2 linked regions of the Mus musculus genome follow. The protein of the gene in region 1 binds, or shares a complex with, the protein of each later gene. Links are inferred from orthologs where the notes say so. Each region holds a gene or a part of one and is shown on either strand. Other genes may lie near its edges.

Region 1 (9,191 bases):
CATCCGGCTGAGCCAGCTTGTTCAGGGATTCCACCTCTGGTCTAGGGTGCCAGGCTTAGAGACAGGGTCATGAGCCAGATCTTATGCTTGCATAGCAAGTACTTCATCCTGTGAGCCATCTCCCCTGGCCCTACAGTCCCTTCTTCTAAAGGACCTGGGTTCCATTCCCAGCACCCACATGGCAACTCACTATAACTCCAGTTTTAGAGATTCCCTCACCCTTATACATACAGGCAAAACACTAATGCACATGAAATAAAAGTAAATTAGGGGCTGGCGAGATGGCTCAGCGGGTAAGAGCACTGGTTGCTCTTCCAAAGGTCCTGAGTTCAAATCCCAGCAACCACATGGTGGCTCACAACCACCCGAAATGAGATCTGGCATTCTCTTCTAGTGTGTCAGATGACAGCTACAGTGTACTTATGTATAATAATAAATAAAGATTTGGGCCAGAACAAGCGGGGCTGACGGCGGAGAGCAGAAGTCCTAAAAATTCAATTCTCAGCAACCACATGAAGGCTCACAACCATCTGTACAGCTACAGTGTACTCACATACATAAAATGAATAAATAAGTTTAAAAAAAAAGTAAATTAAAAGAAAATTTTTAGTTTAAAAAAAGGTATTGATTCCAATCAGGAGGGCTAAGAAATGGCTCAGTGGTTAGAGCACTAGCTGCTTTTCCAGAGGTCCTGGGTTCAGTCCTGTGCACTGGCACAGTGGCTCACAACCATCCATAACTCAAATTACAGATCTGTCTCTGTCATATGGTATGATATGCTGGACCCTGACCCCGACTCTGTCTAACCCCAACTTTGTCTAAGCCCAACCCTGTCTAACCCCAACATTGACCCCATCTCCATCTAACCCCAACCCTGATCCTAACTCTGTCTAACCTGCACCCTGACCCAGACACTAACACTGACCCTGCATGCAGGAAAAATACCCATATTACCCATACATATAAAAATAAAGAGTGCCGGGCATGGTGGCGCATGCCTTTAATCCCAGCACTTGGGAGGCAGAGGCAGGTGGATTTCTGAGTTCGAGGCCAGCCTGGTCTACAAAGTGAGTTCCAGGATAGCCAGGGCTAAACAGAGAAACCCTGTCTCAAAAAAACAAACAAACAAACAAAAAAAAATAATAATAAAAATAAAAAATAAAGAGGAAATTCCAAAGCTGGGCGGAATGACTCACACCTATAACCCAGCACTCAGGAGAGGCCAGGGCGGGAGGATTAAAGACCAGGCTCAGGTACACAGCACTTTTTGACACAGAGTTAAGTAAACCAAAAAAGAAAAGGGGAGAAGGGGAGGGGGCAGGGGGGAGGGGGGGTAGGGGGGAGGGGAGAGAGAGAGAGAGAGAGAGAGAGAGAGAGAGAGGAAGGAAGGAAGGAAGGAAGGAAGGAAGGAAGGAAGGGAGAGAGAGAGAGAGAGAGAGAGAGAGAAAGAGAGAGAGAGAAAGAGAGAGAGAGAAAGAAAGAAAGAAAGAAAGAAAGAAAGAAAGAAAGAAAGAAAGAAAGAAAACAGAGCAGAGCAACCCTCTTCTTCACCCCTCTCTCGCCTGCACCCTCATAGCTTGAACTGCTGGTCTCTAATGAGTAAACACTCCTGATTGGCTCATTAGTAAAAGACAAATTGCTCTTGTTCACACAACCATTTACTAAATAGGAAAGTGTTTCTCATTAGCTATTAAATTACTGGCAGTGATAAACCCGATAAGCAGGCGACTAGCTGACCCACGCAAAGCTCACAGTGATGGACTCAGTACCTCCACCCAGCACCAAGCACCTACTACCCAGGCATCAGCCCCATCCTTAGGGACAAGCCAACAGCCAAAGGAGCCCCAGGGGTCACCACCATACCTCGACTACCACCGACTACCACCCTCAGGACACAGCAGCGGCCTCCACAACACCAAGGTGCGTGTTTTAGTCAACCGCGCTCATTCAAGGACTTGCCCAACTGAGAGAGTCTGCCAAGTTTACACATAGCAGGCCATCCTACATGCCAGGCCACCAGCAGGGACTGAACCCTGAGCCCGAGAGAGTGGATGACTTAAGGAGGGGACCCAGGAGCCCCTCTTAAGTCCCTGGCATGTCATCGTGCTGGTGTGACAATGGAGTCTCTCACTCTGGTTCAGCGTCCCTTCTCTGGGCAAGCCAAACAGACCAGTGTTCACCTCCCCAAGAGAAATCGGCGCACCACCAGTCCACAGTTTTCTATTAACTAACCTGCTGGGTGGCAGTGGCACAGGCCTTTAGTCCCCTCGCTCAGGAGGCAGAGGGGGGCGGATCTCTGTGAGTTCAAAGCCAGCTCTAGTCTACAGAGCCAAGTTCCAAGACAGCCAAGCCAGGTGGGGGATGGTAGCCACACACCTGCAATCTCAGATACTTAGGAGCTCTTCAAGGCCAGCCTAGACTCCAGAGGCAGACCCTGCCTCAAAATAAAACAGAATGGCGCTGGAGACACAATGCAGGGTTACAGCACTTGTGTAGCAGTATCCCAAACCCTGGTTTAGCCATGATAGATGAAACTATCTAACTCAAGACTCAAATGTAAATTGTCCTTGGAGACCCTTTGTTAAAGCCTGCAACTTAGCCTTTTTTACAAACTACCAAGCCAGGGCCCCAACAACCCCACCCCAGCCGCAGCACCAACCCACTTACTTTGCTGGTGTACTTGGCAATGTCTGCGGCCACGTCGGCCGAGGCGGTGGCAATGGGAAGGTCGGCATTGATTGCAGACGCCAGGGTGCTTGCTGAGCCCGAACTGCTGACCAGGGCTGCCGGCTGTGTGCTGGTCACCAGCGTGATGGTGGACGTGGATGGGCTCTGGGTGACCTCCTTCTGCTGGACAGCTAAGAAAGCAAAGGGTCGGGTCACTCCACCCATACAGAAAAGCACATCCCAGCAAACAGCCGGGGCGAGGGAGGGAAGTCTTCTTATAGCTTCCCCTAGCCAGCGTTTGAACTACGAATGCCAGTGTCTCACCTTGCCCAAGCTCGAGCCTGGCTCCTCTGAGCTCTCTTCTCCACTAGGCGCCAACCTTGCACTACAAAGACCTAAGCAATCATCTTCAGGAGCTAACTCAAGGCTGTTCAGTTTAGGGGACTTAATCGAGCCTTGAAGCACCAGGCTACCAGAAGGACTTAACAGCTGGATGCAGCCAACATCTGAAGACGTGAAACCTCTGTCTTTCCATCTCTATGAGAAGGTAAGAACTTTGGCCATTCATTGGCAAACCCGGACAGCTTCACAAACAGACCCTCTGGCTTTCATTACAAGGCCTGAGCCCTTTCTACCTTTGAAAGTGCCAGCCACCCCTGCACCAGTCACCCTGGACCCCTTCCTCAGGTATGACAGACCCAGTGTCCTACTAATTAAAATCACTTCCTGCCTGAAGGGAGTAAGAGTCTGTCACTCATTAAAATCTCAGCCCTTGACATCTTTGGTGTTTGCAGTGTTGGGAACTTAACCCGGAGCTCTGTGCATGCTGGGTGAGCATTCTACGCAACTATACCCGTGACCCAATAACTTTACCGATCCGTCAGCACAGCGCTCATTAAAATCAACGCCTTTCGTTTTAATTGGTGGCAAAACAGTACCACGCTCATTGAAGTCAGTCCTTGCCACAGCGGCTAAAAAGGCAATGTGGTATGAAGAGAGTAAAGCCACTACTTGGCCATTTTAATCACTGGTGGTTACAGGAGCCTCTGCTGATCAAAGTCTGACCCAGCAGGCTATATATAAGGCGTGTTGAGGGAGTAACCACTGCGTCAAGTCTGTCTCCGCTGCTTTACTGATTAAAACTGGCCCTTCCCAGTTGCAATAAGCCTTACAACCTGACACAGGACTATCTGGAAGCTGAGGACCCTACTGCCACCAGGTCCTGGCATTGCAGCCACCTACCCTATCTGCAGGAGACAGCCTTAGATAGAAACAGAATCCAACAAGGGGTTGCCCTAATCCCATGTCCACTGCAGTACTTGAGAGCTCACTCTAGACCTGTCCAGCTTTTCAGGCCTTCTCCAGCCACCTGGCCTTGAGTCCCTGAAAGTGTCCCTGTGACTGACCTGTTACCTCACTGGGATGAGCTCTGGGAGCATGGGGGAAGGACAGAGCGAGTGTGAAGGAAGCTCCTTTGCCCCAAGAAACCAGACCCACATTAGTGCTCCTGAAGCTGGGTTCAGACAATTGAGCGGAGCCATCAGCTGCAGGACAGAGACTGGCCTCCAGCACTGAGTTCTCAGAGGCCGGCTCACCTTGGCAGGGGTTTGGAAGGAAACTGTCCCCCCTACCGATTCCTCACACTCTAAAGACTTTCCCACAAAACGCCTGGAGATTCCCAGATGCTCACAAGACATAGTCATTGCAGCATATCTTACAATGGGAAAAACTAAAAGCATCCTCAATGCCCACCAGCAGGTGAACACCTTAAATGAACTAGGGAATACTATGCAGCAGTCCAAAAGGATAAGACACAGACAGACCTCTAAAACATGCTGATGGGTGGGAGGGAAGGGGGAAAAAAAAAATCAAGAATGGTACCATTTTTGCTTTAAAAAAAAAGAAAGAAAGAAAGAAAAAAGACAATATTTTATGGTATAATATTATATGGTATAAAAACAAACGTATAGGCATGCACTGGGAGAGGCATAAGGACAACAAATGATTGTCACAGAAGGGTGGACAATGACAGGGACAGCGAATGGGCCCACATTGAGCATTCTGAATTCTACACACATATCCTGTCCCCTCTGTAAAGAGGAAACACGTATCACTTATAAAACAGAATAAAAAAAAATCTTTAAAAAAAAAAATCAGGCAAATAGTGCTAGCAAGCCAGTTTTTAAAAAAATAATTCCATATGGGATGATAAGGCCTGCGGTGACCATGACACATAGGGATGTAGGGGAAAAATTCAACAAGGGTGGCCTTTCTCCTGTTAGTGTGGCAAAAAGGGGGTGGGCGCCACAGAGAACAGAAGGGGGCGCGGTACCTTTCACAGCCTGTCTGGTCTGATATCTCGTCCCCTGGGAAGACTGAGGCTGCTGCTGCTGGCTCTGCTGTTGGCTCTGCTGTTGTTGTTGCTGCTGCTGCTGCTGGCGCTGTATCTTCTGCATGTGCCACTTTTGGGAGGACGTTTGAAACTTACTTGATGCGTTCCACACGACCCGCTGCACAGCTGGGACAGTCTCCTTCGGTAAGAGCGGCCTCTGCTTCTTCACCGGGCTTCCCGTGACGGCGGTGGCCGGTGCCGTGACTGTGACGGTAGACATCGTGCTGGTGGTGGCGGCGGCCACGGTGACCCCAGCCGCGGGTGCTTGGGTGGCTGAGCGGGTGAGTACCGGTGTCTCTGGGGGAGACTGGTTGCCCGCCGAAGTGGACGACGGTGGCGGTTTACCTATAGCTACAGCCAGGCAGGGTGGAAACAAGCAGAAACTGGATTGGCTTCCTGAGCTGGGACTTCACATGGCAGGCCAAGTTCTAGGTCAAACCCAGCAGAGGCAGACTGCCTGAAGGAATTTAGAGGGCCCCTGGAGCCCCAAGGACAAGCATGGTCTCTGCAACAGCTATGAATTATGCCTTACTGAGCACAAACTAATATCCCAGATGGAGAAGTCACAAGCCTTCTGGGGGAAGAAGAGAGCAAGACCCAGCCCCCATGCTGAGCAGTAATTAACTAGTGGCCCAGGCTGTGGGTAATGGAGACTGCCTAACTGCAGCCCTTCTTCCCCAGGAGGAGCTCTTGGCAAAAGCAACTGGCTGTCAAAAGGTGTGCACACCAAATCTACTTTCCCCTTTGACAAAGCCACTGGGAGGGGCGACCTAGACATTTAACAAAGGAATTCAGCCCCAGGCCAGAGAACCTTCTGTTAACACCTTCGGCCCAGCCTAGCCTGCATTCTGGATGTGTCTGCGCAGCCCTTCATGGATAGCAAACAATGCTGAATTTCCTATCCTACAATGGTCAAGTCTAAGCCCCCTTTTTCCCTAGACAGGCTTTCTCTGTGTAGCCCTGGCTGTCCTGGAACTTGCTCTGTAGACCAGGCTGGCCTTGAACTCAGAGATCCGCCTGCCTCTGCCTCCCATGTGCTGGGATTAAAGGCATGCGCCACCATACCTGGCTTTTTAAAGTTTTCTTAAAAGCGTTAAGTTGGGGGCTGGGGATGTAGCTCAGGGGCACTATTCGACTGCAATGACCTGGGCTTAAGTTTGGAGGGCTGTGGGCGGGACGGGAAGTCAGTGGAGAAGCTGCACAGTATACTGAACTTACTTATAAAGAGGAGATTGGGGGTGTGGGGGGAGCCTGGAGAGATGGCTCAGTACTTAAGAGCACACTGACTGTTCTTCCGAAGGTCCCGAGTTCAAATCCCAGCAAACACGTGGTGGCTCACAACCATCATCATGATCAGATCATGAGATCTGATGCCCTCTTCTGGTGCATTAGTGTACTTAGATTAAATAAATCTTTAAAAAATAAAATGAAAAAGGGAAGATGGTAGCAGCTGCAGAGGTGCCAGCTTGTACTATACCCCATTCAGGGTACTTAGAAAACACACACCAAACATGGTGGGGGGGGGGTGGCTTTGCCACCAATGGCCACATTCCTTGGTATCCTCTTAGATCCAGATCACCCAGAGAAACACCTGGAAATTCCAGATCTTGAGCAAGCTTCGGGTTACAAGAAGCCAAGGAGAATGAAGAGAAGAGTTGCCATCTCCTCTGAGGCGAAGGTCTACAGCTTAGTGAGCACCTCGCTCCTCTGAAGACTAGAGCTCCAGAGTGAGAGAGCTACAGGGAAGCGGGGCTGGCTAGTCCCTTGGCTGGCCTGACTGACATACATCAGACCCTGGCTGCCCTGGGTATAGAAGCAACTCTGAACTTGTCCATGCTAGGCAGATGTGCCTAGCAGGGTTCTAACAGGAAGCAGCTGCAGGGTGGCTTGTGCTGCTGCCGGTGACACAAATGTCATCAGGGCCTCAAGAAGGTCAGTTCCCGCCGGGCAGTGGTGGTGCATGCCTTTAATCCCAGCACTTGGGAGGCAGAGGCAGGAGGATTTCTGAGTTTGAGGCCAGCCTGGTCTACAAAGTGAGTTCCAGGACAGCCAGGGCTACACAGAGAAACCCTGTCTCGAAAAAAAGGTCGGTTCCGCTCTACTCTCCTTACTAGCTTTGTGAGGTATGCCTACTTGTTGGTGATTTTTTTGTTGTTTTTGTTTTTTTGAGACAGGGTTTCTCTGTGTAGCCCTGGCTGTCCTGGAACTTACTCTGTAGACCAGGCTGGCCTCGAACTCAGAAATCCGCCTGCCTCTGCCTCCCAAGTGCTGGGATTAAAGGCGTGCGCCACCACTGCCCGGCTGTAGATCTTTTTCCAATAGACAACAGTATCAGAAACAAGCTCTCCAGTTGTGCCAGGTAGGGCTTGTTAACCACAAGAATATGGAAATTTCTTCAGTAGGGTGAATTCCAGAAATTTCTTCGCTGATTTCTTCAATGGGGAGAATTCTGGGGTTTGGGGCGGGGTGAGTAGAAAGCTCTGGGCAGTTCAATTGTCTTAGAAAACTCTGAGGGTGTAACCAATCACTCTAAAGAAATGCAGATTACCTACCAGCCCCAGTAAATTGCTAAACTGGCCTGCAGAACTTTGCATTTGTAAAACCTAACAAACAGCCCCCCCCTCCATGGGAACACCCACAGTGAAGGGCAGTCATAAGGCTTTGTCTACATCTGCTCCTGAGCTGGGTAGCTGCACTCCACAACCCTCTTCACTTCAGGATGGACCAGAGGGAGCATGGCTGTAGAGAAGCTAGGAGCATCGCCTAGCCACCTCGGAGAAAGACCATCCACCCACCACCAAGGAGCTTCACAGGGACACCGGTTTACAGAAGTAAGTTTTGCCTCAGACCTTGGGAAATTGCTCTCTGATTGTGTTTAGTTCTAGAATCATCTTTCACTCAACCTACCACCAACTCGGGGTTTGCGGGAGATCCTGGCTGTTTCCTTCAGACATCACATCCAGAAACAGCTCTGCCAGAATGCTAACACTTCTTAAAATCATAACCTCCAATTTCCGTGGATCTTTCTGCTCTCACTGATAGGAAGCTCACGACCAAAGTGAAAGCTCCTGCTCACGATCCCCCGAAGTTGGGAGGGCACGCTTTGCTTGGTCTGTTTTGTTTGAGACAGGGTCTGATGTAGCCGAAGCTGGCCTTGAATTCTCTACTCCTCTACCTCCAAATGCTGGGGTTAGAAGTTTGGGTTACCACACCTACCTATGCTAGTACCTATCTGTAATATAAAAAATTTCCCCTAAGCCAGGGCAGAAGGCAAATCAATCGAAAGGTTCGTTTCAAGGCTGGCAAGGTCCCTCGGTGGCAGAGAATCTTGTCACTGAGGAAGCTGCCCTAAGTTTAATTCTCAGGATGCATGTGGTGGAGAGACCTGACTCGTGAGTAGTCCTTTGACCTACACACACACATAGACACACATACACACAAACCATTTAAAAAAAAAAAAAGCTTGTTTCGGAAAGAATAGGAGGTTCTGAGTGTCATGGGAGAAGGGGAGTCCCACAGTCCTGCATGGAGGAAAGGTCAGGCCTAACAAGCAGGCTCTCTACCCTAGGCAGATTTCCGAGGCCTTCAACAGGCCTTGGTGGAAGCTCAGGCGCCCTTACCCCCCCCACCACCACAGCACCACAGGGATCCCGTTCCTTTTTCTCTGCCACAGGGTAAGAACTGAGATTCTTGACCACCCGCTTAGGCATCTCACAGGGAGAAAGGTTCTCAAAGCCCAGCAAGGGCTTGCTGTAAGTCTCCCTACAGCAATGCAGGCGCCAATTCCCACCTTATTCCTGGTTACGATGAGAGATTAGCTCCTATCAGAAACAAGACACTCAAACAAAACAAAACAAAAAAACCTGGCTATCCATCACCAAACACACGCCGCACCTAAGTGATGCCGCCCCTCCACCCTCAATGGACCACTCAGGATCTTGGATGTTGTTGGATGTTACTGGCATCCTCCAGCCACCCATTTTCCCAGCCAAAATCTTGCTATGACTCTGTTAGGGGAAGGACACTCTTCACCCAGCCCTTTCAGCCTAGTTTCCAGAATGCTCACTGCTGCACATAGTCACCTCCTCCTAATAGGCACCAAGCCTCCAGCAATTCAGGCTGTGGTCCTCAG
Region 2 (8,266 bases), on another chromosome or scaffold:
GGAGCCAGGATAGATGGTGGGGTTGGAGACGTGAAGAAGACTAGATCAGACTGAGGAAGGGGAACGGAGCCAAGCAAGGGGCCTGCCCACCTACAGTCCTGGGCTTCAGTCTTAAAACATAAGCCAAGAAATGGCCAAATGGGAATTAGGGAGTGGGGGACTGCAGTGAACTGGGCTGTCACCACTGTGTAGGGAAACTAGGGGCTTGAGTGTGCAGCTCAGAGGCAGAGCGCTGTCCAGCAAGCCTCCACCCCAACTCCCAGGGTGGGACAGAGTCACACAGCCAGAGAGAGAGAGAGAGAGAGAGAGGAGAGACAGAGAGAGAATACAAACTAGATACTCTGAGGGGCTGTGAGAGATTCTGTCTCAAAAAAAAAAAAAAAAAAGAAAAAAAAAAAACCAAAACAAAAGCCAGGGGAGGTGGTAAAACCAAAAGTTCAAGGCCAGTCTAACAGTTTAATGAGACTCTGTCTCAAAATAAAACCATAAAAGGTGTAGTCACTGCTAAAGCATTCGCTTGGCTTCTTTGAGGACCTGGGTACGATGCCTCGGATGACAAAATAAGAAACCAGATTCTATTTTCAGTTCATCATGAAACTGAACTTCTTAGTGATAGCAGCTTAATTTATGTGGGTTTAAAACCTTGCTATTTGGGGCCTGAAGAGAGGGCTCAGCAGCAGTGAAGAGCACCGGTTTCTCTTCCAGAAGATCTGGGTTCAATCCCCAGCGCCCACATGTCCGGAGCCATCTGTGTCTCCAATTCTAGGGATACAACGCCCTCTTTTGGCCTCTGAGGGCACTGCATGCACCTGGTGAGCAGACATCCAGGCAGGCAGAACATCCACACACATAAAAATAATGTGTTTTGTTTTTGTTTTCTTTTTTTTAATGGCTTTAAAATATGGCATTGGAACAATACCTAGTCCATGGGCCATATTCAGTCCGTGCTTGGTGTGACTTAAGCTAGCTAAGGGACCAGGAATATTCTGAGTGATCCCAGATACCTGGTTAGATGGGACGTAGATGAATCAGCGGCTCAAGGCCTGGCTGGCCGGTCTGGGGATGAGGTGGCTGCAGACATTGAAAGAGGAGGCTGTGGACCTGAATTCTGAGAGGAACAAAGCGCCACCTTTGAGATTCTGCGGGGTTGGAAAGAACCACTCAGGACATTGTCCCTTTGGTTTTCCAGGGTGACCAGCGGGATGAAGAGGAAGAGTCCCAGATGAAGAAGTCGGAGTCAGAGGTGGAGGTGAGAGCGGGGGGAGTGGCAAGTGAGACGGATGGGCGGGGCTGGCTCAGACTGCTAGCCCCGCCCAGCTCTCTAACTCTTCCCTTGTGCCCTCAGGAGGCGGCTGCCATCATTGCCCAGCGGCCTGATAACCCACGGGAGTTCTTCAGACAGCAGGAACGAGTGGCATCGGCCTCTGGTGGCAGCTGTGACGCGCCTGCGCCTGCACCCTTCAACCACCGACCAGGTAGTCCTTGGCCCCCTCCTTGCCCAATCAGTACTCCTCAGACTATGGCCCTAATTCCCTCTGGGACTTCTTCTTGGAAAAGAAGCCTTGCCCAAGGAAGGACTCCTTGGAGAAGGCAAGACCCCCTTCAGTGTGCTTCCACCCCCAGCTTTCCAGGTGGTGGCACCCCCGGAGGGGCTGGGTTGGGGGGCACTGTCAATGTCCGGCATTGGCTGAGTATGGCTGGTACTCAAGGCCAGTTGGGAAGATTTGGTGAAGCTTCAGACACACTGCTGGTGTTGGGAGTTTCCCTGCAGGGTTGGACTAGGTCTGGCCCGAAGGCTTTGGATGCATGGAGGGTGGGATCTTGCTCTGTCCTGCAGTGTGAGCATCCTGGAGCAGTGGTTCTCTCGGCTCGCTTGTTTGGCTTCTCCTTGTGTAGCTTCTGCCTCCCCTTGGAAGCACCCTTTCATTTCTTGTCTGCCGGTGTGAGCATTTGCATCTTCTGTGTGCTTGGTCATGTTGCCGGGGTTCCAGGAGCATGGCAGACTAGACTCATTCGTGCTGCTACACAGAGGCTGGCTGTTGTGTGCCCATGTGTGTATCTGGTGCTGGTTGGTGGGAGGCATCAGATGGCTTGAGGCTGTGGCCCAGCTTGGCTGAATGTGCACCCTGGCTGAAGGTGGCTTGGACATCTAGGGCTGGCCCTGGGGGTGGGTGAGGCCTTGGGGCAGGGGTGGGGGAGACTGACCCTCTCTTGTCCTCTGTCTCTTTCTCTGTCTGTCTCTCTCTCGGCAGGTCGTCCGTACTGCCCTTTCATAAAGGCATCGGACAGTGGGCCTTCCTCCTCCTCCTCTTCCTCCTCTTCCCCTCCACGGACTCCCTTTCCCTATATCACCTGCCACCGCACCCCAAACCTCTCTTCCTCCCTCCCATGTAGGTAGCAGCCCCAGGCCTCGGCAGGGTGGGGTAAGGAGGGCCCCGCTTCCCAGCAGCCCCCTCGCCCTTTCTCCCCCAGCCTGACTGCCGACTGCTGGTGTTTGTCCCCAGAGCAGGTACTACCTGCCTCTTGTCCCTGGCCCTGTAGGGCACTGGCCCCCAGCGGCCTGGTTCACAGGGTCTGGAGCAGCAATCTGGCCCCTGGGGGGCCTGGGGAGCTCACAGCCCCCACCCACACTTGAGACACAAGGTGGATAGTCCTGATTCCACCTGGCTCCCACTTCCTCACTCACTAGCCTGGGCATTTGCTCCGCAGGCAGCCACCTGGACAGCCACCGGAGGATGGCACCCACTCCTATTCCCACCCGGAGCCCATCTGATTCCAGCACAGCCTCTACCCCCATCGCTGAGCAGATCGAGAGGGCCCTGGATGAGGTCACATCCTCGCAGCCTCCACCTCCACCTCCACCACCTCCACCAACTCAAGGTAAGAGAAGGGCCCCACCGGTACCTATCCTTCCATCAGTCTCTGGGTAGGGAACCCTAGGTTGCCACAGTAACATAGTTCAAAGAACTTGGACCAATCCTCACCAACACTACACTGCTAAGGAAGTGGCTATAGCAGAGGAGCGCCCTGGTGTTGCTCTTAGACAATGCCTTCTCTAACCCTCAGTGGCTCATCACTGAGGAATGTGGCCTTCCTCCTGGTGGTTTAAAAAAAGTTGGTGAGGGCTGGAGAGATGGCTCCGAGGTTAAGAGCACTGGTTGCTCTCCCTGAGGTCCTGAGTTCAATTCCCAGCATCCACATGGTGGCTCACAACCACCTATAATGAGATCTGGCACCCTCTTCTGACCTGGAGGCGTACACGTAGGCAGGATGCTGTATACATAATAAAAATGAATCTTTCAAAACATAAAAATGAAAAGAGTGGGTGAAAGGATAGGGAGGTACAGCTGTAGTAGAAGGTATCTCAAATTTACCCAGAAGTCTCAAACTCGTCACTCTTCAGTGGGTGGACATGGTACACTGGCCCAGGGCATCTATCCTTCCCCAAGGGGGCTGACTGTATTGTGTCCTTCATGTGCACTGCCACAGAGGCCCAGGAGACTACCCCAAGCCTGGATGAAGAGCTCAGCAAGGAGGCCAAAGTAACAGCAGCTCCTGAGGTCTGGGCTGGCTGTGCGGCAGAGCCCCCTCAGGCACAGGAACCTCCCCTGTTGCAAAGCAGCCCCCTGGAGGACTCGATGTGCACAGAATCTCCAGAGCAGGCTGCCCTGGCTGCCCCTGCGGAGCCTGCTGCCTCTGTCACCTCAGTAGCTGATGTCCATGCAGCTGACACCATTGAGACCACCACTGCCACTACTGACACCACTATTGCCAACAACGTCACCCCTGCCGCTGCCAGCCTCATTGATCTATGGCCTGGCAACGGGGAAGAGGCCTCAACACTTCAGGCTGAACCCAGGGTGCCCACACCACCCTCAGGTGCTGAGGCCTCCCTGGCAGAGGTGCCCCTGCTGAATGAGGCCGCTCAGGAGCCGCTGCCGCCGGTAGGCGAAGGCTGTGCTAACCTTCTTAATTTTGATGAGCTGCCAGAACCTCCAGCCACCTTCTGTGACCCAGAGGAGGAAGTAGGAGAAACGCTGGCTGCCTCCCAGGTCCTAACTATGCCCTCAGCTCTAGAGGAGGTAGATCAGGTGCTGGAGCAGGAGCTGGAGCCAGAACCTCACCTGCTGACCAATGGAGAGACCACTCAAAAGGAGGGGACCCAGGTGGGACAGGGGGAGCCTGGTGGGAGGGACAGTATTCAGTGCGGAGGGGGAGGGCGGATTGCTTGTAGATCCATATTGAGAAGCAGCTCTATGCCACGCCCCTTTCCATCTCTGCCATTCGTTCCCTGGCAGGCATCTGTGTTTCCCCAGCAACCAAGGATTCCAAGAGTGGTTGCTGGGGAAACAGGCTCAGGCCTGATAGATCAGCTGTTGTCCTGACAGTTGGGTCCTGGTGACCTAAGCTTTTATTAAACTAACTAAATAAACAAACAAAACAAAACCAAATAACAAACCCCAGCAGGCCAGCGAAGGATACTTCAGTCAGTCACAGGAGGAAGAGTTCGCCCAATCAGAAGAGCCATGTGCAAAGGTTCCGCCTCCTGTATTTTACAACAAGCCTCCAGGTAGTATCCCCGGGTGAATGATGGGAATTCTGGAATTCTGGGATGGGACTGGAGGGCTAGGGGTGTCACTAGAGTCGGTTGGCACAGCTCTTAGAGGTTGGGGGGCGGGTGGCACCACTGATGGATCTACCCAGCCTTCTCTCTTCTCTCAATATATCCTAGAAATCGACATCACCTGCTGGGATGCAGACCCAGTTCCTGAAGAGGAAGAGGGCTTCGAGGGTGGTGATTAGTAGCGGCGACTGCCCCCTGGCTGCCCTCGCCAAGGCTGCCTACCTGCAGTGGCCTCTGGCCAGCCGGCTTGCAGTGCCAGCATTAGCAGCAGCCCCGCCTGGCTCCCACTCTGGATTCCGGCACTGGCCGGGGACCTGTCTGCTTCCTTACCCACAGGGCCTGACTTTTACAGCTTTTCTCTTTTTTTTAAAAGTTGATAGACTTGTACAATTGACTGGTTTTCCTCCCGTTGGTAGTTGAAACAATGTTGCAGATTCCACCCCCTTCCTGCCCAGACCAGATTGTAGCTTAGTTCTTTCTGCTCAGCTGACCAGGGTGGAGGCCTCACCTTGTTTGGGACCTGGTGGGGGTCGGGGGTTCTGGTGGGAAAATGTTCCCCCCATCACTTTTCCTAGTTTTATGTTTCTTGGAAAAAAAATCACTTTGTATTCTCTATCCAGGGCTTCAGATATTTTGCACGAAATTTAAAACATGGCAATAAATGGCTCGTGGGCTCTGGCTCCCTGGGACCCTTCCCCTTCTCTTTACCCTCGCTGCTTGGTCAGAAGGAATTATCAGACCCACCTGGGGCCCCTTGGCTTCCCGCCCTCTCCTGCCGGGCAGGTCCCAGGCTGGAGGTCCTAGGCATGACTCAAGTCAGGGCTTATTGATGGGACCCAGTGGTTTGGGTGGCCCCTCCCCAATTCTTTCCTCTCTGCTTGGGTTCTTTTTCACATTAACTTTTTTTTTTTTTCTAAGCACAAACTTATGTAATGGGTCGTGCTCATGTCTGTTAATAAAGAAATCCAGATCCCTTCGGGCCTGCTGCTCTGGGCCTCCAGGGGTTGATCTGGCGTGGGCGCCGGCCCTCACGACCAGCTTCCCAACTCCTGTCACCTCCGAGGCTACAGGGGGCGCACAAAAACAGGTTAGGAGGAGACGGAACATTAAGCCCTTGAGAAACAACCTTTGGTTTCCGAACACCAGCCCTCTGCTCTCAAGGCCAGTACTCGGGCACTTTCCCTAAAGTCCACATGCCCGGTCACTAGCACCTTGTGCTTAAAGCAGCTGGTATCCCCCTCCGCTTGTACCAAAGCAGATCACACACCTTTATTATCCTCAAAATGTAACAAACAGGGTAAGAAATCCCTCCCTCCCCCCCACCCCTCCCTGCAGTCCAAGGGAAGCATTTAAAAAGCCTCGCAGTCAGGCTAGGAGTTCGCCCGTGGGGCTCGGGACGCCGGGCGCCCCTCTATACGGCTGTAGTCCTCCCGAACAAGGGGATGGAGACCGGCAGACGCCAAGCTCCGTGCTCCAGGGGCTCTCGGCTGCTGAGCTCTGAGTCGGTCCAGCTGGGGAAAACCCGGCGGCTGCGTTCCGCCTGCAGACAGAGGGCAGGGCAGGGTGCGGCGGGCCGCGGGGCGCTGGGAAGATGCAGCGCCGAAGTATAGCCCCGGTCCAGGAAGAGAGGCTTGTAACTCGGAGGCGGCTGCTCCTGCTTCTCCGCGCTGTCGCGGCGGCTCAGAAAGGGCGTGACGATCTTGCGGTAGAGGCCGCGAGTGTCCGTGAGCACCTCGCTGTAGGGAGGCGGCGGCTCGGCCATCAGCACCGCCTCCTCGTAGCACGGCGGCTTAGACATGTCCGATTCCGCTGCGGAACGGGAAGCGGGCTGGTGAGGATGAAGCCGCCGGCCCGGGGCAGAAGCCTCGCCCAGCCACCACCACCCCAGCCCGCTTCTCCCGGTGCTAAGGGTGGGGCGCCTCCGGCATGGGCAGGGAGCGCTCGCCTGCCGAAACGCAGCCTTACCTTGGCGCGGATAGCTCCAGGGCCGGGGCGGCACGGCGAGGTGCGGCGGCGGTGGGTGCGGCAGTGCGTGATGGTGTGGGTGCGGGTGCGCGTGCGGCGGCGCCGGCCCGTGGTGCAGCAGCGGGTGCACGTGCACGTGCGAGTGCGCGTGCACAGGCGCCTCCAGACGGCTGCGGTGCGGTGGCGGCGGCGGCGCCAGGCCGGGAGGACTTCCAGCCAGGCTGCCCTCAAGCTCGAGGGGCTCCAGCTCCAGGGCACGCAAGTTCTGCTCCCTTAGTCGCTCCTCCTGGCGCCGTTTGAGGCGGCGGCGCAGGAAGCTGCAGAAGCAGCAGAGCAGGACGATGAGACCCCAGATGAGCCAGAAGCCGGCGAAGCAAGTGAGGAACGTGTAGGTGCCCTGGGACATCACCATGGCTGCGGCACAAGCGGCAGGTCCTCGGCGGCTCTACTGGACGCTGGGCTCCTCGGCGTGGCCCCGGGGCCGCGCCACGCTCCCAGGTGCCGCCAGTGTCACTCGGGGACCTGCGGCCGGGGGCTGCCTGCGGCGGGGCTCAATAGGCGCACATGCCGGCGAGGGGCAACTGTGGTTCCCGCTCCTTCCCATGGCGCCGGCCGGCGCGGGCCTGCTTCACCCGGGGCCGCGAGCGACCTGCGGGGCAGACACAGGGCTCAGCGAGGCTCGCCAGGGTCCTTGGTGACTCCCGGCCTGCATCCGCGTCCCGCGCAGGGCCGGGGATGCCTCCTCGGTGGGAACCCCCGCACTCCCCGGGGGCCGGGTGACGTCACCCAGGGATGACGTCACGCCCCGAGGTTTCCCCGATAGGGTTTCCCCCGAATCGGGACCCGGCGACCGCGTGCTGACGCGACCCAAGAGAGGCCAGTAGGGGGCGCGCGGAGTCCGCCCGCGACCCCAGGGTCCAGCTTCGAGGTGGTTTCGGAAGCTGTGACTGCCAGGACGCTGGAGTAGTCTTGGCGCGGTGTTTTGGGGGCGAGGGAAAGGGCAGTGCACCTCCAGGAGGCCCACCAGCAGTCCGCTTGGAGCCCAGTTTCTGCCCTGCACTGCTTCCAACTATTAGCCACGCCTGAAAGAGATTGGCGAGTGGCTGCCACTGCATGCCACCAGCCCGGTCTTTGTCTGTTCCCAACACCGTGTGCTGGGCGTGGGCCAGGCCGGCTTTCCTTCCTCTAGGCGCCTCTGCCAGCCGGATTCTAGCCCCAACTCGACTTCCCACACCACCTACTCATGCGCAAACCCCACTTGGCTGCACCTCTCTTACTTCCAACCCAACCCCCTTCCTTCCACTAATCCCTTTCCCTCTTTGTAAAGTGGGGTAGAAAATTAGATTTGTCTTTCAGACCCACCTAGCCCTACAGTCAGGACAAACCCTGGTCTCTGGGTCCACCTCCTATCACAGCAGGGGGCGACATCTCTGCATGGGTGGGGGGCTACAGGGGTTGGTGGGAGAGAAGTCTGGAGCCCTGACTGCTTAATTAAGGCCAAGCAACAGACGGGTCACCATCCCCACAGAACAGAGATGGGCCTTTCTCGAATACCTTCTACCAGCAACTTACACAACCCTGTGGGTAACAGTGTCTTTCTAACTCACAGCTGGGAGCTGGAAGAGCAGTTAACTGCACAGACCGCAGCTCTAATTTGAACCTAGGTCTAGTCACCAA

The links.
Region 2: the proteins of Zmynd8 (region 1) and Dbn1 are in contact, whole or in part, in a crystal structure (PDB 5Y1Z), measured with the Homo sapiens proteins. The link is inferred for Mus musculus from reciprocal best matches to the Homo sapiens genes ZMYND8 and DBN1. Residues at the interface, in NP_001350670.1 of Homo sapiens: Gln167, Pro168, Gly169, Thr170, Gln236, Ile237, Val240, Lys243, Ile244, His247, Trp269, Leu285, Gly287, Phe288, Phe307, Gly309, Gln310, His311, Asp312, Ala314, Thr335, Lys336, Ser337, Ile338; in NP_004386.3 of Homo sapiens: Met1, Ala2, Phe6, Ser7, Arg10, Leu11, Leu14, Tyr17, Glu18, Asp92, Ala93, Cys96, Ala97, Ala99, Ser100, Lys104, Glu107, Phe108, Gln110.

What each region holds. Positions count from the first base shown.
Region 1 is NC_000068.7:165,802,520-165,811,710, forward strand, and holds part of Zmynd8 (protein kinase C-binding protein 1), read right to left. Parts: intron 5,411-9,191; coding exon 5,000-5,410; intron 2,859-4,999; coding exon 2,668-2,858; intron 1-2,667. UniProt on the Homo sapiens protein: Chromatin reader that recognizes dual histone modifications such as histone H3.1 dimethylated at 'Lys-36' and histone H4 acetylated at 'Lys-16' (H3.1K36me2-H4K16ac) and histone H3 methylated at 'Lys-4' and histone H4 acetylated at 'Lys-14' (H3K4me1-H3K14ac).
Region 2 is NC_000079.6:55,470,760-55,479,025, reverse strand, and holds the end of Dbn1 (drebrin), read left to right. Parts: intron 1-1,189; coding exon 1,190-1,249; exon of another isoform or gene 1,250-1,345; coding exon 1,346-1,475; intron 1,476-2,252; coding exon 2,253-2,390; intron 2,391-2,709; coding exon 2,710-2,880; intron 2,881-3,489; coding exon 3,490-4,166; intron 4,167-4,464; coding exon of another isoform or gene 4,465-4,467; coding exon 4,468-4,570; intron 4,571-4,732; coding exon 4,733-4,803; 3' UTR 4,804-5,598; downstream 5,599-8,266. Other genes in the region: Prr7 (proline-rich protein 7), read right to left, coding at 6,036-6,433, 6,590-7,001. UniProt on the Homo sapiens protein: Actin cytoskeleton-organizing protein that plays a role in the formation of cell projections. Required for actin polymerization at immunological synapses (IS) and for the recruitment of the chemokine receptor CXCR4 to IS.